Linked DNA regions of Drosophila melanogaster. The protein of the gene in region 4 interacts with the protein of the main gene of each other region in a pairwise test. Each region holds a gene or a part of one and is shown on either strand. Other genes may lie near its edges. The genes, in order: CG34168, BomBc3, lig and Srpk79D.

What was found.
Region 1: the proteins of Srpk79D (region 4) and CG34168 interact in a two-hybrid assay, tested with the Drosophila melanogaster proteins (one large-scale study listed by BioGRID).
Region 2: the proteins of Srpk79D (region 4) and BomBc3 interact in a two-hybrid assay, tested with the Drosophila melanogaster proteins (one large-scale study listed by BioGRID).
Region 3: the proteins of Srpk79D (region 4) and lig interact in a two-hybrid assay, tested with the Drosophila melanogaster proteins (one large-scale study listed by BioGRID).

Annotation. Positions count from the first base shown.
Region 1 is NT_033779.5:16,133,520-16,137,565, reverse strand, and holds CG34168 (uncharacterized protein), read left to right. Parts: upstream 1-2,293; 5' UTR 2,294-2,404; intron 2,405-2,471; 5' UTR 2,472-2,477; coding exon 2,478-2,660; 3' UTR 2,661-2,852; downstream 2,853-4,046.
Region 2 is NT_033777.3:22,084,903-22,089,910, forward strand, and holds BomBc3 (bomanin bicipital 3), read left to right. Parts: upstream 1-2,280; 5' UTR 2,281-2,300; coding exon 2,301-2,358; intron 2,359-2,415; coding exon 2,416-2,457; intron 2,458-2,526; coding exon 2,527-2,723; 3' UTR 2,724-3,599; downstream 3,600-5,008. Other genes in the region: BomT3 (bomanin tailed 3), read right to left, coding at 701-963, 1,331-1,421.
Region 3 is NT_033778.4:8,067,425-8,076,508, forward strand, and holds the start of lig (lingerer), read left to right. Parts: upstream 1-2,404; 5' UTR 2,405-2,474; coding exon 2,475-2,855; intron 2,856-2,910; coding exon 2,911-3,088; intron 3,089-3,396; coding exon 3,397-4,814; intron 4,815-4,938; coding exon 4,939-5,354; intron 5,355-5,702; coding exon 5,703-5,810; intron 5,811-5,942; coding exon 5,943-6,047; intron 6,048-6,175; coding exon 6,176-6,276; intron 6,277-6,549; coding exon 6,550-7,076; intron 7,077-7,987; coding exon of another isoform or gene 7,988-7,993; exon of another isoform or gene 7,994-8,048; coding exon 8,049-8,183; intron 8,184-8,240; coding exon 8,241-8,366; intron 8,367-8,435; coding exon 8,436-8,684; intron 8,685-8,868; coding exon 8,869-9,084. Other genes in the region: CG17977 (uncharacterized protein), read right to left, coding at 1-20. UniProt on the Drosophila melanogaster protein: Acts in the nervous system to mediate the control of copulatory organs during courtship.
Region 4 is NT_037436.4:22,271,616-22,277,643, forward strand, and holds the start of Srpk79D (Serine-arginine protein kinase at 79D), read left to right. Parts: upstream 1-2,369; 5' UTR 2,370-2,942; coding exon 2,943-3,823; exon of another isoform or gene 3,824-3,876; intron 3,877-3,930; exon of another isoform or gene 3,931-4,101; intron 4,102-5,748; exon of another isoform or gene 5,749-6,028. Other genes in the region: Csp (cysteine string protein), read left to right, coding at 1-147, 754-776.

The DNA.
Region 1 (4,046 bases), on a different chromosome or scaffold from region 4:
TGAGCAGTTGTTTGGTTGTTCACTTCAGCAAAACATTCAATGCATAACTACAATGGGCATAAGTTATGCTTCCCTGCAGAAATACCATTGCAATGGCGGTGAGCGAAAGGGAAAATGCAAGCAAGGAGTTCACTTGACTCGCCCACACAACGATAATCATGTTGTTGATGCCGATGCACGGACTGCTGTAGATATAGATATGGTATCCTGATTCACTGAATCACTAACAAAGTCAGACAGCATCCATTTCCACTGCGCCTGACTGCAAGTGCTTCGTCAATAAAAGTCCCCATCGCTGGATTATTCAGACAGGCAAGTGACCACAACAGACTTCCTTTGAAGGTATTTTGCCAATTTATTAATCAGAAATCTATTTTTACTACCCGAAAATTTCCTTTGTTGTCGATAGTAATAATTATATTTTAAAGAGTACAGATTGTGTATTAAGTTTAATTTTTATTTATAAGTTACATAAATGAATAATTAATATTTTATGGTTTTAAATTAAATAAAGTTTTCTATTTGACTATGTAGAATCTATGTGAGCACTTGTAGCTTTCCTCATATGTATGTATATTTTAAAATTTATTGTGCAATTATGCATTATTAGTTATGATTAAACATTTTAATGGAGTTTTCTTCCGCTTTTAAGCTGTGAGTTACAAACAAATAAATCAAAAACATAAGAACGGAACCAAAAACTTATCGCTCCAAAACTTCCGCTGCACGGACGCTCATAAAATGGGGGACATTGAACTTCTGAGCGGGCTGAAAAAGGCATTGCTGAAAACTGTAAAAATACCAGCGAAGAAGCCGGAAAAAAACAGTGGAAAAAAGTCACATCAACACGAAACATTAAGCTTCACAGTCACAACATATTCGGCTCTTCGATGCATTTTCCTTAAAGTCGCCATGGAGTTCAAATCGAATGGGAGCGCACGCGCCTGCGAATATGCAATGCTGTAATACGAGACCAACACGCGATGGAGATGATGTTTGGTTACGGAAGGGGATACGGGAATTTTCCCGGGGTATTCGGGGTTCCGGAATCGGAACAGAAAATAAGCTCAACCAGACCCAAAAGGCCACCAAACGAACGGGCTATTTACGAAGGGCGGAAGTGCTTTAATTTAATGTTGGTAAAAGATAAGAAGTTAATCCGATCAAATTTTCTTGGCCTTTCCTTCATTTAATTCGATTAAGTAATAGATGAGATAGTGATGTTGGAAAATCGATGTACATGAGCTTTATAAGTAAATAAACTTGTAAAATGTACAGAATTCTTCATCCTTCAGAGTTTTTTTTACTTATTTTCTTAAACTCATAAAAATTAGGAACTTCGAGATGGATTAATTTACACTCAGCCTTACAGCTTATTTGGGTGAAAACGTGAAAAGTGTTGGGGTAATCGACTCAATTAGCTATTGCATAAGCACACTTTGCACACTCCCGCGCCAGCCAAACAAACACCAAACTCAATTAGATGCCATAACTAAATAATCACAAACACATTTACGCCAGCAAGAGCTCTTTTCAGTTGAAGCAGACCGGTTGGTAACCAAGAAACGTGGCAAAAAAAAAAGAAAAGAAAACAGAGAACCAGGTCAACAACAGAAACAACATGAGCAACAATTTTGAAACAATGAAATGACGACAACGACAGAAGCGGCAAGGCATGCCTGGAAAATTGCTTCCAAATGCTCAGAAGCCAGAGTGGAAATATGGGTAGAGTCGGAAAAGTGGGTGGCCTGGGTGGCTGGGGGACATTCCAACATGTGACGCACGTGACAAAACTTGTCAAGTGACTTTACTTCACTTTGACTGCGAATCCCGGCTCTGTTGTCCGTAAACAAGAAGACGGAATCCCGGCTGTGAAGAAAAATAGGTTTGTGTGCATTGCCCAACACAAAATGCTTAAGAAAACTCTGCTCTTGGTAAAACAATGAAAGGTGGGGCAAAGAGGAAAAATCAGTCGCGGCTTGGCTTTTCCGACTTGTTGCGCCTTCGGCTAAATTATGACATCGAGAGTTTTAGGGGAATGGGAAGTCCTTCGGGACGGACTGAAGTATTTTTGGAGGAGCAATGGAGTGGAATTTTATGGGACACACAAACAATCGGGAACGGTTTTATGAATTAAAATTCTTAAAGCGAATTAGATAAGAGGCTAAGAGGCTAACTGTATATATAGTTAATCAAATTTTAAAATTTGGAAAAAAGCATTTTAAAAGCAGGCCATGAAACCACAACATAGAAGGCCATGAAATCAAAGTTAAATCTGTAGAACTTTGTGGACCAAGCTAGTGGCTTTAGCTCATTATAGTTTCGGTTCTCCAACAGAAAACATCTATTTGTACGACTACCAAATTTCTAGGACTGAAAATCCTACTTCCGTAATCAGGCTAATGTGAGTGTGAACAACAAACGAATTTGTTTCTTGAAAATATCCTCGATTCGTTTCATTTCGTTTTCAGAATAAAATGTGCAATCCAGGAATGTGCTCGATGCCCGGCACTTGCTGTGGACCGACTGGCGGACTGGGACCCTGCCTGCTCTGCGGACCCTACAATGGCCAGTGGTTCCGTTCGGTCAACCACTGTTGCGGTCCTTGTGGCCCATATGGTTGCTGCTCATGCTACGGGCCGTATGGTGGACATTGTTAGCCTGCTTAGAAGGAATGTAGGGTTTCTTTATCCGCGATCTGGAACAGGAGCTTTAAAGATTGCAGCCGTGAGGCCTTGTCGAAGATGAGGAGCCACGCTGAAAAGTTGTCAGGCAAAGTGGATCCAAAGATTTGTGTTCGATGAAAGATTATGCCATCAGAAATAGATGTTAATAAATTATACGTATAATTCAAAAATAGACCACTTTAATTTCACTTCACATGTATTGCTATCAACAGTTAGCAAACCTAATTAAATATTTGGCATGCATTCTGTGGAAACAATCACAAAATTCCATCTCGTAATTTGCCGTTTTTGGTTTTCTTTTCAGTCCGCCGGGTGCATTTAAGGCTAAACCCCATTTGATTGTAAATATTTGGCTCGTTTACGGCTAACGATACATCGGGGACCAGCCAAAAAGACGTGTAATGCTAATGGGCCTGTTGAGTGCAAATTTGTTTACGAGTAAAACACCACTAAAACAGATGGGCTTGCTGATTGCTTTCAATTTTATTTAATCGAGGCACCCCGCATCAGATCGACCAGAAAAATTGATATCGTTAAACATAGTGAACAACAGAAACGGTAAGTTTAAAGAGTATATCATCGTGATACGGCTACTTGGTGCGTTTGAGTGCTTTGCTAAGACTGGGGAAATACTCGTCACTGTTGAGATCAGGAGCTTGAGGTTTTCCGGACATCTTGGATGGAACCTTACGCAGACGGCTCTCAGCCTGATCCCGTCGATTGAAGTCACCTTGGCTCTGGCGGAGAGCAGGTGGTATGTAGATTTGGCTCTTTACCTCGGACGGTTCTTTCTTATTCGGTTGCTCCACAGACATCGGCTCCTTTAGCTTCTGCTGCTCCAGTGCGTGCTCCATTTTCACCCAGGGACAAGTGGTATTGCCGATGTCATCATCATGTTTCTGACCCACGTTCATGCCATCGCCACCTGTATCGGTTTGCTCCGAATCTTGAGCTTTGACATCGCCGACGGCCAATTGAGTCAGTATTGTTGAGCCAGAGCTGTGGCCCAAGCTCATGAGCTCCATACGATTCTCCTCTGTAAATTCAGACCATTCATCCTCCTCTTTAACAGATTCATTTGGGTAAAGAAGTGAAAATTCCAACGATTTCATAGCCGATCCTGTAGATTCAGTTGGCCCCTCTGTACGATTCTCATTTTCCATACTCTTTACGGAATCGGCATCCGTGGCCAACTTTGCAGATTCCTCCAGCGTTTTGTACAACTCATCGGTGGCCAAGTAATTGGGTTTTTTTTTTTAGTTTTCTTATTATCTTTCTTGGCAAAGAAATCATCAAGACTGGCCATTATGCTCAGCTTATTTTCCGAATTTATTGTTGACGGTACCAAAATTTCTTGAA
Region 2 (5,008 bases), on a different chromosome or scaffold from region 4:
CTGTTTAACAAAATGCATGCTATGATACCGATAATTATACTTAATGACCCTTAATTTGATTCCGGTTCATTTGCTTCAGCTTAGCTCACCAAAAGCTCGCCGAACGAACAAAAATCGAACTTGTAATTGTATCAATTAAGTGCTTGTGGATTCACCGAGCGGTTCTTTTGGTTCAACTTTTTGGAAATTCGATGCCCTTGCATATTTAGCCAGGGCAAGTCCTTTAATTAAGACTGACAAGCAGGATGGCTGAAACTTTGAAGAGCTTATGAATTATTTCCTTTGCAGGACTTTGACTCCTTCAACCGAACAGCACAGTCGGTTTTATGGCTTTAAGGGTATATTAATCATCACTCTTGAACAGTTGCTACTCATTTATACGTGTCTGAACTGAATTACAATGAATACCAATTATAAAATGCACAGGAATTAAGGATATTATTTTTAGAAGCTATAGGTGGCATGCCATTTATTAGTAGCGTTAGCTGAGTATTTGATAAGTTTATTCACTAGTTTTACTTTAACAGAGGGACTTGTTTTTAACCTTTAACAAAACCTAACAAAAGCTCATTCTGTAAGTATATAAAAGTAGTCACCGCTGATAAAATATATATTTTTTTTATTTAAGTCTATATAATCTAAGTTTCAGACGATGCTTGCTCTTCGCGCTTAGCGCTAGCAAAGCTTCGAGATTATAATCTCAGCCGCTTATAATCTGCGTAAGACCGCCATCATCGTAGCCACCTCCACCGCCGCCTCCGTAGCCTCCTCCACCTCCTCCTCCGCCGTTACCATAGCCGGGTCCAAAGTTGCCCGAATATACTGGACGACGGCCACCTCCTCCACCTCCGCCGCCGTTGTAGTATCCTCCACCGCCTCCGCCTGCGTTGTATCCACCTCCTCCTCCTCGTCCTCCGTTGCCACCTGTGTAGACTCCAGGTCCTTGGCCTCCGGGTGGATTACCTAATAGTGATATTTAAATCAGTTTCTTGAGGAGTAGTAGTTACTTAATTGCGCGCTAGCTACTGCATTTTTTACGCAAGCCAGCAAATGTACTATGCGCTATAGAAATTAAAAGCTTAAAGCTAAGTGTTCGGAATTATATTATTCATAAACTTAACCAATAACAAATGTTTAGAGTATCGTTAATAATCACTTAATGACTTTCGTTGCCAAGAAATACCATAATATAATAACAAATTGATTGTTCATTCAAACTTTCGCTAATGAAAACACAAAATTTCCTTTTAAACTATGCCTGATGTGGCAGCGACGAAAATCGTTGAACAATTTTTGAATAAATGGCCCAAATTAATAGGCATTGACTTACAGTCGTAGCAACCGCCACCGATGTAAACAGCCGCCTCCGTTAGAGCCAGTGCAAAAAAAGCGATAATCGCAAATGCCGTCAAGGTTCTCATTGTGGCTGGTCTATTAGAACGTCGAACTGGTCTGGACCAGGTACGAACCGCAACAGCAGCTTATATACGATGCACTCATCGATTCCGATTCCGATACTGAATTTGAATTCGAATTCAAACCCAAACAGACCTTATCGCTGCAAAGAACTATTGCTGTGCAAACAAACCACTACGTATGTATTAAGTATTAATCTCAGGGAATTGCCCGCGGATGGGTTTCAAAAACAATCTGTAGCGCATCAGTTGGTCAGTCGTATTGCATTCAAGATACTCTACGTTACCTTTTTAACATAACAAATACACAAAATCTGTAAAATCTATAATAAGTCAGACACTTTTCATTTCTACAAAGTTGCAAAGATTTATTTTTAATGAAATGTATTTGTTTTCAAATATATTTTTTGCTTTTTCATTGTATTAAGTATCTTATTATTTAAATATAAATTGTTAGCTTTAGAACTAAAGCTTCTACATTTCACTCACGAGTCACGACTTTCGGTTCTGTAACCAGTTTTCCTTAGATGTATGGATAAAATTTAATGGTGTGCGATTCTCTGGAATCGCTTGCCATTCATGTTTACGTCTGGGAATAATTGTAAACCGACTTTTCGGGGCGTGACTGTCATAAGTTTCTTTGAAGAAGTTCAAGGAAATCAACTACGTCGACCTGATGCCACAAAACCGTGTGCGGAAAACCCCATCGAATTGCGATTTGATAGTGTTCTAGTGTGAAATTAATTTAAATATATTGTTCAAATACAAATCGAAAGCTCCAAACGCTTAGGCTTATGCAAATCGATTTTGATTCGGATCGAATCAAGTGCCGGACTATATAAGTAGCGTGAGAGTCGATACGGTCATCTATCTATCGGCTTTAATATGAAGTACCTGACGTGTGTGCTGCTCCCGTTGGCTTTAATTCCGACTCTGATCGGCGGTAAGCTGGACGGGATTGCTGCTGACGCTAATTGATACACACTGAAATTATTTCCAGCTCATCCCAGCACAGTGGTGGTGAATGGCGTCTGTCTGACTTGTAAGTTGCGATTGTTTTGCCAGCTAGGCAATTGGACAACTTAATGAATAATAATATGCACTCGAAAAGGTCCCAATCCGAATGGTGAACCCGTCTACCTGGATGGCCAGCAGTACCGCAGCTTCTCCTCATCCCCTGGCGATGGTAATGTGGTCATTTCCCGTGGAAATGACGGTAGTGGCGGTGGAGGTGGCACCATTTACCGGAGGGGTGGTAATACCATCGTCAATGGCAGATGTCAGCACTGCAACGTGGATCCCTATTAAAGGCTTAAACAATAAAGTCTGAATATTGAATTAAAATTGCGCACATATCGATCAATCCATTTCATACTTACACTTGGCTATGTACAACATCATTTAGCTAAAAGCATTGACAATCGTTCAACCCAGTCTCTCTGCAAATTCGATGAATGTGATGGTTTCGAGTGCAGAGGGCATCATCTGATGGAGGCAAAAAATGGAAAAATGAGCGTTTTATATTCAGTTTTTGTTACCACGAAGTACACGTGGAGAAACATGAAACATCCGAGTTATTTTATGCTGCGAAAAAAGCGTGAAGAATGTTATAATTGCTTTTGGTCGAAATATTCAGTCCTGAAAATCAAATTTTTCACATTTAAAATAAGAATTTTTTTTAACGATTTCCAGTACCTCATTGCGTGCACTGCGAGCTGTCTGTTTGTGAACATTGGCTTCTCTCATCCTTCTCAAAAATAAGTGATACAAAAGCGTTACATTTTCAAAAGCCTTGGTTTCAAAACAGTCTGCAAATAAGGGAAGACCCACGGATTTTGTGACGGAAAAATAGAGAAATTCGTGCTGCCAATGGCATCGATTGTTTGAACTTCAGCTAGTTGCCACATAAACTGGGCTGGGAGCTGACGTCGCTGTCTCCAGAGTATTGCACAGCATCGATAATCAAATGCGAGTAACCAACCGTGCAATTTACGCCAGTGGATGTGTTGTCAATGAAAACGCTGGCCTGATGTAAGGGTGCTTAAGGTTGCGCGTGCCACGTGGCGTATACGTAATGCTACTGCAGGAACGGCAAACAGAAGCCTCTCAAATATTTGCTTTGAAACTAACTACTCGACAAACAGTAAACACTTAGTGCATACACACACACACACACACACACACACTTCCCAAGAATATTTTGTGCAGAAGTTTCGAATAAAACTGATGCTGTGTTTTTATATACAGAATAAGAAGGGAAAAGTTTCATTCAGGCTTAGCATGCGAAAACAATTAAAATTGTAAAAGGATTACTTAACAATCATACAATTTTGATTTAAGCGTATAACTTAAGAGAATAGTATTGATTCCCGGACATCCAAGAATAAAAACCTAAGCTTTATTTGCAATTAAAAAAAAATACAATGCATTGAAATCAATGGACTGCCCTTGCGGATGTGCTAAATTCAGAAAAACGCTCGACTGGCTTAAAATTCAATGAACATTTGGGTGGCATAACCATACCAATCGTAAAGGGTTTCGATACACTTTCTCTGATTTACTTTTAATACACTTTATTGGCAGAAATGTGTCGTTTCCTATCTTTTTGGGTCACAAATTGTTTACACGCAACTTTAGAAGCCCCATGAAGCTGAGGAACTCAGTCCTAGTCCAGAACAGGGTGGTTTATCTGCCTAGCAACTTAAGGACCTTGAGCTGGGGAATGTTCGAAATTGAATTTATGTTGACTTGTATTTGATTTCAGGTCAATTTCTGTTCTCTTGTGCCTAATTTGTGCGGCATTAGAGGGGAATTTCTGGGGCAGGTGAAAGGTGAGCCGATCGGACTTGTGGCAGCAGTGGCCATCTCCTTCACGCTTTTCAAATAAATTTTAACTTTTTTCTGTTTCGCCCCCGCAGTGTTTTGCCAGAAGGCAGAATTGATTTATTTGTACACCAATGTTGTTTGCCCTGGGGGCAGCGCCTTTGGTAATATTGTCACGTGCTTGGAAACTCTTATATCTGCCACTGGTTGAGCTTTATTTGAAAATCCCGGCCGCATAGCAAATTTACATAGCTTTAATTATTATATTTTACCCCCAACTCGCCAATGCTTGTATAAAGTCGCTCTTCTGTTTACTGCCTCCTTTTGGGGCGCCAGAAGATATTAATAAATAAATTAAATTCCATGTACCCAGCACTTCATTATCGACAGGATTATTCCTTTTCCCACCATCGAAATTGGAATTCCGACTTTGCTGAAAGCGTATAATTAACGAAAATGCGATAAGTGCTGGAATTATGCGGAGAAAAGCATCAGTTTCTGCGAAGTCATCCTTACAAATGAGACACGTGAAATAGCTTTGGTTGATTGTGAAATTTAAGGTATTTTGTGTGTGTTGCTAAGGGATACGACTATTCTATACTTCAATTAAATGAATTAATTTACTACTAAAGACCTAATTTATTGCTTAAGCGTTTCGACAGGTTTATATTTACTAAATCATAAACATATTAAAACGGATGCTACATAAAAAGTTTATGGGGTGACAAGGTCACGAAAAGTATGACAACTGCGAAAAACTTGAAGCTGAC
Region 3 (9,084 bases), on a different chromosome or scaffold from region 4:
TTCCACCTTGCAAAAGTCATTTTGGTTTTTTAGGATCTTTTCAAGCTTATTTTTGCAGCTCCTCCATTGCATCTTTCAATATCTCGACGTCGTCGTCACTCGAATATTTGGGGCATTGGTGTGTGCTCATTGCTCGCCTGGGTAAATATACTTAATGTTTTGTCATCAAATGCAATATTTTGTCCATAGTTTGGTAAATGAACTGATTTTGTTTGTTTTTTTTTTCAAAAGTAGTATGTTTTGTTGATGATAGAGGTGTGCAAATGCCAACAACTTTTCATTTGGTATCGATATACCACTTGATTTAATACGAGTTCAAAACCTTTTAACAAGGAGCATACAACATATTTAAGATCGAAATCAGCTTCTAATAGGTAAGCTGCTTATATTAGCTAATGGAAAATTGGATAAATTAGCTTTTTGAAGCCTTTTAATAATGGTATAGAAATGTTATCAATTTAAAAATTAGTAAAACTGATTCGTGGCACCGCTAGATTTCTGAGTCCAGGGCTGCATGCCCAGATAAAGCCATATCGATCGACTAACGAGCGGTCACATTAAAAGTGCGTTTCTCGGCGCATTTGCAGGTATTGAGTGTGACTCCGTTTTGAAAATTTGTTTATCCAATTTAAAGCCGTGACCGGAACCCTGCTGAGGTGTTAAAGTTTAGTTTAAGTGTCCCCCCACCTGTGCAACGTGTTTTCGACATGTCTCCCGGGGGCTTGTCAGCGAAAAACTCGGTTGAAAATTCAATAGTGGCCGCTGTCTGGAGCGGCGGTCGTCGTCAATTACTGGGTCCCTTGGTTTACATAAGAGCGAAAGAGTCGGCTAGTGTGGCGTTGCAGAAATGGCGTCGAAGTATGTGCACATGGCTGGGTCTATTAAGGCTATATATCCCGTTTGCCCCGCAATGTGCAACTGGGAGTGCGTTATCCTTGCCGGGTATGTCACATATTGGACAAATTTCGCCAACAACGAATCGTACATTTCGCTTATTTCGGCGCAGTGTACGCCACTTTGTCCGGTTTTGCATTCCACTTTGTGCGCTTCATTCGGTTTCAATGCCCTCGCATTCAGTGTTGCCAAGTGCCGGAGCGTACCTAGTGATGTGTGCCATCCGAGTCCTGCCGTGAATTTGTGCGTTTGTGCAGATATTGTAGCTAACGCTGTTTGCCCTCTCTAGGACCTGCTACCTCGTTAACGAATCCAATCATTGTGCTCCGATTGTTGGTTAATTTAACGGCCTTGCCAAGTGCCGCTGCGCTTTGTTCGCACCTGGCAACACTGGTCAGCCCGCGCTGGTGCGGGTGCGAGGGAGATGCCGCTAGGACAGATGCAGAAAAGCGAGCACAAAAGCGAAAGCGAAAAACCGAAGCGAAGAGGCCAAGGAGTTTATAAATCAATTTTTGTGTATGTCAGTCACCGCGATTCCCATTGCAATTGGTATTGAGTAGTTTCCGGGTCTCGGATCGCAGTTCCCCAGTTCCCGTGGTCAAATTTCCATATCATGGTGTACGTGCGAAATGCGAAACCTGATGGAAAAGTGATGGCGACAGCGGTCTTTTGTTTGTGTGCGGCAGTACGCGCGTGTGTCTGTGTATGAATAATGCATGGAAAGGCGTTATTCACGGCAAACGTTGATAAAACTGTTTTGACAACAAAAATTGAGTGATTCAGATATGCACTTGGTATCGGGGTCGCCTCTCCCGCTCTCTTTCCCATGAACCACCCCCCCTGGAAATGCCAACTGACGTTTCGGCTTGGATGCGTCGTGGTCACGTACCCCGCCACCCCCTCGGCAATCATTCTGTTACCTGTTTTGCCAATACACTTTTCACCCCCCTCATTATTTTTGTTATTTCTGAATGCTCGCTTTGTTTGTGCGTACGATCTTCCCTTCCTCTCGCACTTCTTTGCTTCGGCGTGTGTCTGTTTGTTCACGTTCTTTCATTCTCTTTTATTAAATGTACATTGAACTCTCATCTTGCCAACTTTTCCTTTGCTGCTCTCTTTCGGCCACTTGTTTAGCCATTTTAACACATTCCCAGATAAAAGCTGTCTGGATTGTGGGAGTTTACCATTAATATTTCCACGCCGACGAATCAAGATTTAGATCTTAACCATTCATTATTCTCTATCCAACAAAAAATTTATGTAAATGCGCTGTAAATTCCAATTGAATTTCTGCTATATTATAGTTGAATATCAACTAACAGAAGCGAACCAGGCGGCTAACTTTCTAAATCAGCAACACCAAAAATCATTACTTATTACTCTCTACTTATTTGCATTGATCTTTAGATATTACTATTTTACTTATAGAACATTAAGTAAACCCAGAGAGTCCCATACTCAGAATCCAGTCAGCACAGACTTAAATTTTTATCAGTCAGTTTGTAGATTCCCTGGTTTTAAGATCGAATCCTTCATCTTTTTCGTATTGCAGCTAATTTGTATATACAGTGTACATAGAGATGAGCACACAAACTCGTTCAGGCGGCGGGGGAGGCGGCGGCCATGCCCGCAACCAGAAAAAGTCAAATGCCAGCAACTCCGGCGGAGGAGGAACCGGCCATCACGATGGAGTCTCACATGCTGCGGCCGCTGGCAAGAAGGGAGGCCAGGATGCCAGCAAGACAGACAAGCCAGAGAAGGCCCAGCCCAAGGCTACCACCGAACAGTTGCGCATTGCCCAGATCACCAATAGCACCACAGAGGATCCGCAGATCAACGAGAAGGTTCTCCTTCTTTTGACCATGACCCAACGTTCCGAGGAGGAGGTCTGCTGTGCCCTCAACGAGTGCGATTACGACCTGGAGGCCGCGGCCAACTTCTTGATCGAGGAGCTACCGCAGGTTAGTTTCGATTCTAATCTCCCGCGCTCCAGTTATTCAATTGAATCTGTTTTAGGGCGCCTTTGCCAAGTACGAGAAAAAGCGCAAGAACAAGGCTGCAAATAACACGGCTGATGGTGCTGCTGGCGATGGCGATTGGGCCGATGGCAATGGCAATGCGGACAGGCGGGAAAAGTCGCGAAACCGCAGCTCAAATCGCGGAGGCACCCGTGGCTCCAGTGACAGTCGTGGATGTAAGTATCATAAGCCACGCTCATTTACTAAAACGTTTCTTAGGGCATTACTAAACGTTTTGGATCTTTAAGCTCTGCATTACAGTTATTGTAAAACTGCTAAAAATAACGTTTCTTTTTATGTAGAACATATATAAAAATTAAGATCGTTAAATATTCCAATGCTGATTGACATTTAAGGTTCAGCATTTGTTGGTCATGCGCGAGCTGTAATTAGAGAAAATATTAAATTGATGAAATAATTTTAGTAAATGATATTTATCCTAATCCTCTGAACATAAATTAATATTTGATTTCTAATATTGTAGGGCGCGGAAGAGAGACTCGTGAGAATGAGCGCAACCAGCGCGAATCTCGCGAACCTTGGTCCGGGCAAAACGCTGGTCAGGACCGCGGTGACGATCGGGCAAATGACAACTACCGCGGGCAGCGCAACGGCGGCGGACGCAGTGGTCCCGGTGGCGGTGGACGCGGTGGTGGCTTTGTCTCTCGCTCTGGCCGTGGCGGCGGCCGCATGGGGGGACGCACCGGTGGACCGCGTGGCGATCGCGGCAGCGGAGGCCCTGGTGGTGCTTATGGATCAGGTCGCGGTGGCAATGCAAACGAGGATCACCACGAGGTTGAGCTGTGGGACAACACCATTGCCCAAAATGCCGAGAAGCAGCAACAGGCTCATGACGATGCCTGGGGCGACTGGAACAACGAGGAGTACGAGGGCTCGCTCAAGGACAGCAAGGTGTTCACCACTAGCAACCTGGCAACGCAATCCGCTGCCAACGTGGTTAGCGGAACTGGCGCGAGTGTTACAGCTGTTCCTGCGGCGGCTGGAACCGAGATATCGGCGCCACCGGGCCTTGAACATCAGTTGGTGCAGCAGGGATCTCATCTGGAGGAGAGCTCCAGCAGCGGCCCAGCGGCGGTCACACCGCCAGCAACGCTGAGCGGCTCGGCGACCACGCCGCTGCTGCAATACAGCGCAGCGGTCAGTAATCCACCGCCCCAGCTGCAGTCCCAGGGCACACAGTCAGGAGCGGGTACAGGAGCGAGCGCAGCTGCCGGCGGAGGAGCAGGCAGCACACCGTCATCCTTTGTATCCGCCTCTCCCGACACATTCTCAAGCGCCGCCTCGGCAGCTGCCACGCTGGTGCATCAAGCACAAAAGCAGCAGCAACTTCAGCAGCAGACGACGCCTATCAAGCCGTCGGCTACTTTGTCGGTCGAGCAATCTCAGTATTTCAACTCGTTGGCCAGCCAGGGCGTCAGCCCAGGTTCTGTTCCAGTGCAATCGGCGCCAGCGGGTTACGCGCAAAACCCCGTGGCCGCCTACTCCCAAACTAGCACTAGCGTGGGTGTGAGCCAGTACCCCAATACCTATGCCAACGTATTCGCTTCTGGAACGGCAGCTGGAGCTGGCACTGCCGAGCAATCGCAGCAGCAACCGCAGATACGGAGGGCACGTGTTAAGCTGCCACCACCCTCGAAGATTCCTGCGAGTGCCGTCGAAATGCCCGGAGACAATGCACTGAACAACATTGGCTACCTGGACGTGCAGTTCGGCGCTCTGGACTTCGGCACGGACGATGGCTTCGAGCCATTGCCGGAGAAGGTTGGTTCGGGCTTTAGCATTGATGGTCAGCAGCAGCAACAGCAGCCAGATGACTACCAGAGCAAGTCCCAGCAACAGCAGCAGGTGACGCTAGCGGCAGGTCTACAGAGTTCGCAGATTGTAAGTACCGTACTGTATCCTTTGAATCACCCAAGTAATCATCGTCACCATGATTTAGTTAATACGATAGTTTTTAGCATAGTGCATATATTACTGAGAATCTAATAGCATTCCTCATTTATAGAGCGATGCCTTAAATGCAGCGGGCTATACAAGCCGTTCGACGTCACAGCAGCAGCAGGGCGTTAGCTCAGCGGTGAATGCCACAATCGATCAGCTGACCAAGAGCGATCCCTACGGACAGACGGGCGGCAGTGGTAACGCCTACCAAAACGCGTACCAGAGCAGTGGAGCGAGTAAGACAGCCAGTGGCTTTCCGACGACCGCGCCCGGTGGCTACAGCAGCTCCACATACGCGAATGTGCAAAGCTCAGTAGCCAACAGTTACCAGCAGCAGGGATACGGCTCATACCAGCCCAGTTCCTACCAGCAGCAGGCTGGCAGCGGGGCTCAAAGCGGTACAGGTGCGGTAAGCGGAGGCGGAGGAACGGCGACGCAAAACATTCCGGTTGGAGGCAGCAGCAGCCAAAATAGCACGAGGTATGACATGATCCAGTATTGATTGTTTAATATTTAATTCCAAAGGGTACGTACCCTTGCAGAGATTCGTAGTTACATATTTCTTAAATTTAAAAATTATTTCTAAGCAACAAGTCGATTTGGCAAGGAACAACTAACTATACTCAGCAAGGGTACAAACCTTATCGAATATATCTTTTACTTCAAAGTTTAAATATTTGTGTGTATGCAAGTTTTGCTTAACAATTAGCCCCACCCGAAAGAGAGCTAATCTTCATTTTGTTTACTGTTTTTCTTCTCTCCTAACACATTTAATGCTCGCTTATGTCCCAAAAATCCCAAACCGCAATCGCGCTCCGCACCTAACAGCGGCAATGCGAGCTCTGCCTACCTCACATCCGGATATTCGACACCACAAAGTGCTTACCAGTCAAGCCAGAGTGTTTATGGCAACACTGGACTGTCCAACAGCAGCGGGTAAGTACCAAATGTGACGATCCCAATCCCAATACGATCAGTTCCCTGGGGATGACACGTACCTTATTTTGCTTGTTTGGACTGGTTCTGGTTCCATTATGCTTAATTGCGGCTTCTCGCCCGTTCGTTCAGGTTCTCTGGCAGTGCGAGCAACGCGTCCTCGCAGTACGCCAATTTCAGTGCCAGCGCCAAGCTAAAGGATGCGACCACGGCCAGTAGCGCCGCTCATTACGACAGGTAAGAGCGAAACCCCCGCTCTGCATGCCCCGCTTTTTCAAATATTCCGACTAACCCAACCCCCTGGTCATATCCCACTTAGAGGCGGATGCCTGTAGCACTTAATGTTGATCTTATTGACCTTTCAGTGTCTCAACCAGCAGCGGAGTGAGCAGCAACAGCGGAAGCACAGGCAATGGCGGTGTGGTGAGCGGTCAAACAGGTGCTAACCAGGCGGCTGTATCGAACAGTAAGTAATCGATGATTTAATATCAAACAGTTGAGGCCCTAAAGAGTATGCATTGCAGTCATTAAGCTTTCTGGTATAGAAATCCCATATCAAAAATATTTAAAAACAAACTCACAATGTCAAATCTACTTCAATCTAGCCACGGCTTTGACAATACAACTCTCCAAAATAAATATAATTTTTGATTCAAACTTTTTGTTTAGCTGAAATGCTCTATTTTTGGCCGAATTCTTAGTATTCGCATTTAAACTAAAACCTTTCCGTCCTCTCCAGATAACAGCGTGAGCGGCAGCAGCTCGGTCAGCAATGTGACGGCAGGCGTTGCGAGTGGCAACGTAGCTGGCGTGGGCGGAGGCGTAAGCCAGAGCGGCGTAAGTAGTGGAGTCGGCGTGCCCGGTGGCAGCGCGTCCAGCGTCGGTGTGAATGTGAACAACAACAGCAGCAGCGCCAGCTCGGTGGGAGCAGCGACCGTTGCCCAGACAGCCACGGGAACCACCGCTGCAGTGCTGGCCTCGCTGACCAACAAGAACACCAGCAGCAGCAATAGCAGCGGCAGCGGTGGCAGTGCTGCCACGACGACGGGCAACGCCAGCGGACAAGGTGCGGGAGCAAGCACCGGCGGCGTGGGCAGCTCGTCGGGTGCTGGTGGTGCTGGTAGTGGTGGTGGCAGCGGTAGCGGCTTGGTGCCCACCAACATCCAAATGGTTAGTCAATATATTCAGACTGGATTGCCATACTATCAGCAACCAGTGTATTCCTACGAGGAATTGCAAATGATGCAACAGAGAGTGCCACATGTGGTGAGTTCATGGAGAAAAGCAAAAGCAAATATCAAACCAACAACTACATAATGCAACCGACCAATCAACCGAACCGTTTCTAATCAAACAGTAATCGTATCAATATGCTCCCATTATACAACGTTTTCGCATTAGTCAAGACCTAGTTCCATTTAAAATTTAAACGCATACGACAACTGCTCAGCGCATCCCAGCTCGCCTCCCGCTGCTGATCGAAATCGTTAATCCGGATCCTGGCTCGTTGACGTTGCGGCCTCCCACTCCTAACCGTTTCTCAGCGTGCATTGTACATAATAACATACATATACCGCGATGTCTGTGATCAAGTCCTTATTATACCACCTCCTAAAAGTCTGTGTCTGTTTGAATATGTATGTGTGTGTGTGATTGTGTAAAAAGCTGACACTTTCCTTCGCCACCCTGCACCATCCGCTTCCGTTTTCATCCAGTTCCACATTCCTGGCATTATCACAAAAAAAAAAAGATAAACAATCCACATGTATTGCTTACCTCCCAGGCTCTGCTTTACACTCAAAATTAACCAAAAACTAATCCGAACGTTCTTCCTCGTTTCCATCTACAATGTAGTTGTGGAATTAGGGATGCAAAGCCAATTCAAATCGAAGAAATATAACCTTAAAATATAAATATATATATACTTGAATTACTTTGCATCCCTAACTACAACGAAATCTGTGCTCCTTACTGACCCATTTCATTCGATCACTAACATTTTACCCTTTTTTTTTTCTTCAACCTAACATCTGACTAATGTATAAATTTCTTACATTGAACATAACGTATTTCATTTTGTTGAAACTGGTACACGTGGTTTTGTCAGACCTTTATCACATATTTATTTTGTTTCGGTAAGAAGTTCTGACAAAGTGATCCGTTCATCATCTTCACAGCCATAACACGCCCAGAATGCTCGCGTGAAGACGAACCTAATGCTATAATTCTCAATTGCAGCAGGGATATTACGATCTGAACTATCCGCCGGCCAGTTTAGGAGCTGGACGTGACAACCTCGGCTCTGTGACGTATTCTGCTATGAATGATGGACGCTTTGCCCGCACTGACAATAACTCCAGTCCGGTCGGCAATGTATGTGCTCAGCTTAGATAGATAGATCGATAGATGGTAAAAATGTTTATTTTGCAGGTCTCCAGCACAATGTCGCAACAGGCTGGCTCAAGTGCGCCCATGCTAAATGTTCCTTACGCCTACTTCTATGGTGGCAATGTAATGCCCGGTAGTTTTCAATATGGCACGCCCGCCATATATCCAGTAAGCCTATTACATTCAAATCACTTTGTATGCAGTATCTAATCAACGTCTAAACTTATTCAATTTCAGCAAATACCGGCAGCAAACACTGCCTCCGGTCAACAGTTCCCGAAGCCTTCGTATAGCGCGGGCTACGGCTCGACCAGCTATGACACTCTGTCGCAGACCACGCAGGACTACAGCAAGGGCGGCTACTCGTCGAGCGTGAATCAGCAGAGCAAAACTCAGACTGTGTCCAACCAGTCGCAGGCAGGCACTGGATCCGATCTGACCTCTTCTATGTACGGAAAAGGACACGTGGCGCTGAACAAGGTTAATGTACGTATGGTTATAAGCAGGGCTGTGGATTTGGATGCAGGTCATCATAGCCTGAATTCGATGTTAAAAGACTTCAATTATCTTTGAGCAAAAAACAATACAACAATAAGATTTCACAGCCCTGGTTAAAACACCTTATCTCCCGACGTGTCTACATTGTACCATTGTATTTTTCGTTATTCAGTCGTACGAGAAGCAGAGTTTCCATTCGGGCACTCCGCCCCCGTTTAACATGCCCAACACTCAGACGGCTGGAGGCACCTCTGCCCAACCGTACGGCATGTACTTGCCGATGCCAGCGGCCGGACACCACAATATGATCCATCAGCCCATCCACCAGGTACATTCAGAATTACCACTTCAGGTTGTTGTAGGCGGAGGGACGGAAAGTCATGTTCTC
Region 4 (6,028 bases):
AGCCGCGGGAACAGGCCGGAGGACAGCCTGTTTTCGCCATGCCGCCGCCCAGTGGAGCCGTGGGAGTAAACCCCTTCACCGGCGCCCCTGTAGCAGCTAACGAGAATACGTCGCTAAACACAACGGAGCAGACCACTTACACGCCAGGTATATAAGCAATTGGTCCAGAAGTCAACCACACAGCCAGCCTCCGCTAGTTTGGCAATCCGACAAAGCGTCTTTGACCATCGAACTTGTTATTGTGCATATATCGAACAAATATTGTTTCCTTCGGTCGCTGGATAGGTGGCGAAGGCATTCAGTCACCAGTCGACATACCCCGTCCAGCGATCAGATCAACACCCCCTTAGCAGTAAGCTCGTGTATCCGGCAAGGTATTTTTTAGTCACTTTCTGTACATGTCCACGCGAATATGGGATCCATTTACTTAGATCTGCATGCTGAATTACATTACCACACACTGCCCGAGCTGCAGGATGACCAATGAATAGATTGATTGACTCAGCCTTTCGTTCCTTAGGTCTGCGCCAGCCGTACTCAAGTCCCCCATTTTAAAGACCTCCTTTCAAGATTGTTTTCCAAGCTTTCGCAAATTAAATGAAATGAAAATTTTAATTTCCATCCAAGACATATTCAAAGAATGTAGCTTAAGTTTGACGGATTTTAGTTTTATCGTTTCTTATGCAACGCGTACATTTTGATTTCTTTTCACTTATCACTGTCTACTTCTCTCTCCCCCTCTCTTCACTCTAGATATGGTTAATCAAAAATATTAGTCAAGTGCTGCGAGCGAGTCAAGACCCGGGTGCTTGCGTACACCACACATTCAGATACAGACACAGAAAACACAAGCCCCTAAATCGTAACAGAAGAGAAAACCAGATTTATTTCATAATTATTAGTGTTGTTTTTAAAATGCGCGATATGTTGAAGCGAGTAAACATAGAAACCAATGTATTTATTTTAAGCCGTAGCACTTAGCTCTAATTTTAAACTATCGAACTTCGTGGCCGCCCTCCGGTCAGTCAGGTTGATTTTGGTCCACTTCGGGCAATCGATTCACCAATTCCATTGTTCAAGCCATGCATCTAGCCTTGCAGCTGTACCACTATACAACTCGAATCGATAGCCAAGCCGCGAAGCCACCATCTCCACCTATCCAGTCATGCTAATCACCAAAACACCATTCGGTGTTGATGAAATTGTATATCGGAAGTTTGTCTAGACATTTGCTTGGGGATCGGATCCCTTGCGGCTTAGCCCGTGAGTTGGGATTCAGTCGCGAAGAGAGGCACTGTAATTATATATATGTATATGATATGTGTATCTAGTTTGTGGCATTTGTGTCGTCGCTTAGTCTAGCTAATTTGTTCTCGAGATCTCCTCTTCACCGATTGTTTCTGTTATTTTGCACTAAATTGTTAAAGCCAGAACTACTTATGTAAAAAGGATGAATTGTCGAGCGACGCGCCCAGCAGATTGCTCCGATCCGATTCTAATGCAAATGTAAATACGAGTTAAACAATTAAGCATCACACAGTTAAACAGAGGAGGACGAAGAAGAGGACACTTTGAAGGGCGATCCAATTAACGCAAATATAAATTATATAACAGATATTAATAATCCCCTCTATATATAAAACAATTAAATACGAGTAATCAAAAGTTGAATTGTAACCCCCGAAAGTATTGCACATATTTATGTATTCCAAATTGTTTCAAAATTGAATTGAATCTAATTAATTTTTGTTTGATTGTTAACCCGCTTTTAAATGTAAATGAATGCGATTAGTCCAGCAGTAATTAACTTTTATATTGTAGTATCCCATTCTAAATCATTGACATCAATTATTGCCGATCAGCTCCGGGCCAGGATAAAAGTCCTTGGGCGCCTGGGTCTAGGGCCGGGATCCGAGAGTCGCCGGCTCATCTATAGTATAAACACGCATACATATATAAAATTCAATTATTAATAATTACATTTTACGGTCTTGCGTGTGTATTTATTGTTCGTACAAGTCAAAGCAAAAATACTAAGTAAACTAAATTTAAACTTAACAATTGTTTCCAAATTTCAATTGTATTCTGGTCTAACACGAAGAAGCCGAAATAAATTTATTATACAAACTCACCGCTTTGTTTTACAAAGGGTATTGCCTAGTCGGCTTTGCCCATGAAAAGCTCTGCCAGGATGGTAAACAAACTGATTTTCGGGGATGGAACTTTCGACGACGCCAGCTGCTTGCAGTTAGCTTTCACTCTCTCCGCTCGGGCTTTGTTTTGTTTTGGGACAGTAACGGGCCACAGCCGGCACATGCGCTTTGCCCGCTCCCCGGAATCGCTGAACTTCGCCGCAGAGTTTTCCGCTTCAGAACCCGGAGGGCAGACCGTCGGAGAGTTCGAGCCAAGTGCGGACAAAGAAGACTTTTCCGTGCTGCTGCTTCTGCCAAAAACACAAAGTGGAAAATGTGATGTGTTCGCTTTATTTGTCGAGGATAAATCAATTCCGCTATTAACTAGACTACGGGCACGTACCTGGCCAAAAGCATCGAAGAAAGGCGAAAGGGAATCCAATAGGCCCAATTGAGGGCAGACCGTGGAAAAACCCTCTTCTATCGCGAACCAGTTCGTGGCAGTGTGTGCGTGCGTGTGTGGATTTTCGCCTTACTTTTTTCATGCGCAATTTGGGTTACAAAGCGAGAAAAGCGCTGCTTAAAATGCATGTTTTAAGCGCGTCCCTTCATTGATTTTCCTACGCACAAGGAATGATATACGAAGTCCTCACCAGGAACAAAGGGCGCAGGCCAACGATGAGGACAAAGACGCGAGGAAGCTGCTTCTAGCTTCCCAGCATTCATTAGGACAGGGCGAGGACCAGCCCCGCGCAGATCAGGAAACTCATCCCGGGAGGCATCCTGGCTCCCGTACTGCCCAGTAGCGGCATGGCCGGCCTCATCGGTGCCGCAAATGGCAAACACCACCACCCACACCTCATCTCGCCCACCCACACGTCACTGCCGGCCGGCATATGTAGTAGTGACAGCGGCATCTCCACTTTGAGTGCCATCTCGCCGCCACTCTCCACCTCGACCACCACGGCCTCCGGTGCAGGCGGAGGAGTGGGCGGCAGCCCTCAGCTGCGCACCTCACCTGCGCTGAGTATGCTGGGTAGCGCCACGGCGACGGCCAGCGGCGTTACCGCCTCCTCAGGATGCGGTCTAACTGCCGGGATCCTGGGCCCGGCGGCCAGCATTGACCTGGGCAGCTCGCCGCTTTCTCACCGAAACTACAGCAACTCACTGAAGGGCTTTAGTTTCCGTCGCAGCTTCGACGACAAGATCATCAATACGCCGTACTTGTCGCGCGCTCCAGCCTACACCCACGGCATTCCCTATCCGCATTTTCACGGTACTCAGCCTGCGGCCACCACGCCGCACCACCTCCACCTACACCACCATGGGAACGGCACAGCTGCGGGATCAGGTTCCGGTGTGGGATCGGGACCGGGATCTGGCAGCGGTGCAGGAGGACTCTACCAGCAGCCTCTGTCGCTGGCCTCGATGACAGCGGCCCTGCCACTGGCTCCGCTCTATGGATCCCCGCTGTCCCTGCCGCTGACCTCCTCTCAGTCCACCACCAAGCTCTCCTACCGCGACGACTTTCTGCAGCAGATTGGCTATCTGCCAACTACGCGCATCTACAGCACCCCGACCAGCATCGTCGACGAGGACAAGGCCCAGCAGGACTTCCTCTCGCTGTCGCTGTCGCCGCCGCTCAACCGACGGCGGGATATGCCGGCACTGCGCGGCCCATTCGTCAGTCTGTAAGTACTTCATCGATATCGTTGTCCCTATTTGGTAAAACATTTTTATTGTGCTATAAAATTAATATAAGAATTTAGTATATATTTCTATTTTCGGCTACAAATACCATATTTGCCAATATTATAAGATAAACTTCCTTCGATCACTTCATGATCACTTGAACACTTCATCTTCAAAAAAAATGTTCTTGACATGAACTGACACTGAGACATGATCAGAAGATCAGGATCTTTTAACAAATAGAGCTGGGCGTGTCCGTCCGTCCGTAATTTTGTATAAAGTTCGACCACACGTTTATTTCAAGACGTGTTCATGACGGACTACTAGAAACGTTAACTAATACTGCTCATTGGAAAGCGACGTCTCTTTAACGCTTTTCTGTTAAGATATCTCAACTCAATCTCTCAACTGAGTAACGAAGTAACTCGACCAAATGCATTTAATTTGTATTGACAAAATGGTATTAGGTTCCATTTCTGAGTGACACAGTATAAGCCTGTAATGTAAATAAAAATATAAATTGACAATTAATGAAATAATATTAAAGGGCATACCAGCTTCGACTTAGTAAAGTAAGCTTTTTTCCAGTTTTCTTTCCCATCACTCTCATGCGGATAAAATATGAACATAAAGTATACGCCGCGTGTATTCCACGTGTCTCTCACAGGCAGGAAATAAATTTATCGAACCGTAACGAGCTGCTCCAATATGTGAGCCGTTCGGGGATGGCCTCACTATTCGCGTTCCCACTGTGCGGGCACAGTGGGCCTCATTGTTGACGCAACCCATTAGTTCGATACCCTTCGCCACACAGTGTGCTTATCCCGAATGGGATGTGATTCCACACACTACATACTTACTTATGTGGTCCAGTTTTTTCGACAGTGGTACCAAGCAAACTTTACCTCCTGCGTCCCATAATCCTACATCGATCCCCCCGCATGAGTTCTTCCATTCAGTCCGCTCGGTTTGTTTACGTTTTTAAATTGCCCTAACCGCAAGTAGGCACCACGTGACGCCAGTGGCTAACCAATGAGCACCCCCAACCCAATCACCAACCTCCAACCCCCAGCGCATCCCCGCAATAACACAAACTCACTGCAATCGAGCAAAACGATGACGTTTTACTGCCTCTGGCTGCTCTGTATTCGCACTGATTTTCTAGCCGACTTATTGTTTTCATTCGCTTCTTTCGGCGTCTATAAATAATAATTTTATTGTGTTGTGCGGGGGGGGGGGGGGTTTGGTGGTGGTGTTGTTATGTACGCCGAGTAGAGCGCGTTCGTGTGTCAGAAATAGGGTGACTCAAGATGTCAGCAAGCTTTTCCTTCTAAAGAAATCGCCATGGCTCCATAAGGATCAACGGCTGACTCAAGTTGGGAACGGGGCTGCAAAATCAATAAGGCCGGTTAGTCCCAATACGAACTCACACATTTGCATATTGTGCAGGCGGCGGACGGAACTGCAGTTGCATTGCGAGGAATTTTTCAATCGCACCTAATCGCTCGAAACTACCTTTCGAAGTGGTTTCGAAACCTTTTGGAATTCGAGGTATTCGAAATCCTGCCTGTCGAACACCCCTCTGCACGGGCGAGGGAAAATTTGGCAAGATGCCTAAGAAATCTCGAAGCACTCGATGATGACGATGATGTTGACGGGCATGGCCCCGCATGAGTGTGTGCTCATTTGGTGGACTCTTTCCTGGTGTAGTGCAGTCCATGACCGGCAAAGGCAGCGAACAACGAGCAGCGCCACGACATCGACTTGATGAAGTACATTGGATAATGACGCCAGCAAAATACACGGCGCATAAAATTATTCATTTACAAAATATCCAACTTTTTTGAATAAGTATTTCTCATCAGAATTGCCCACAAAGCAACCATTTCATACTCAGTAAAAAAATATTTATATACGAATACACCTGTCTTTCAGTTTTTATTTAGTTATTTACGAAGCCACTAAATTACGATCCTGTAAAGTAGAAGGTATCTGTTGGCCAAAGACTGCGACCTAACTGCTTTGTAAGGAAGTGTTCTCGCAGTGTATCACTCTAAGGAAAACTATCGGCGGGCATGGGTTCTAGGTGATCCACACACCTCACCCCCTGCCGGACTGTGAGCGGGCGAAGACTAAACTTAGTTGTGACAAAAAAAAAAAAAGAAACAAAAAAGCAGAACAGAAATACTCGCGAGTTGGAAACG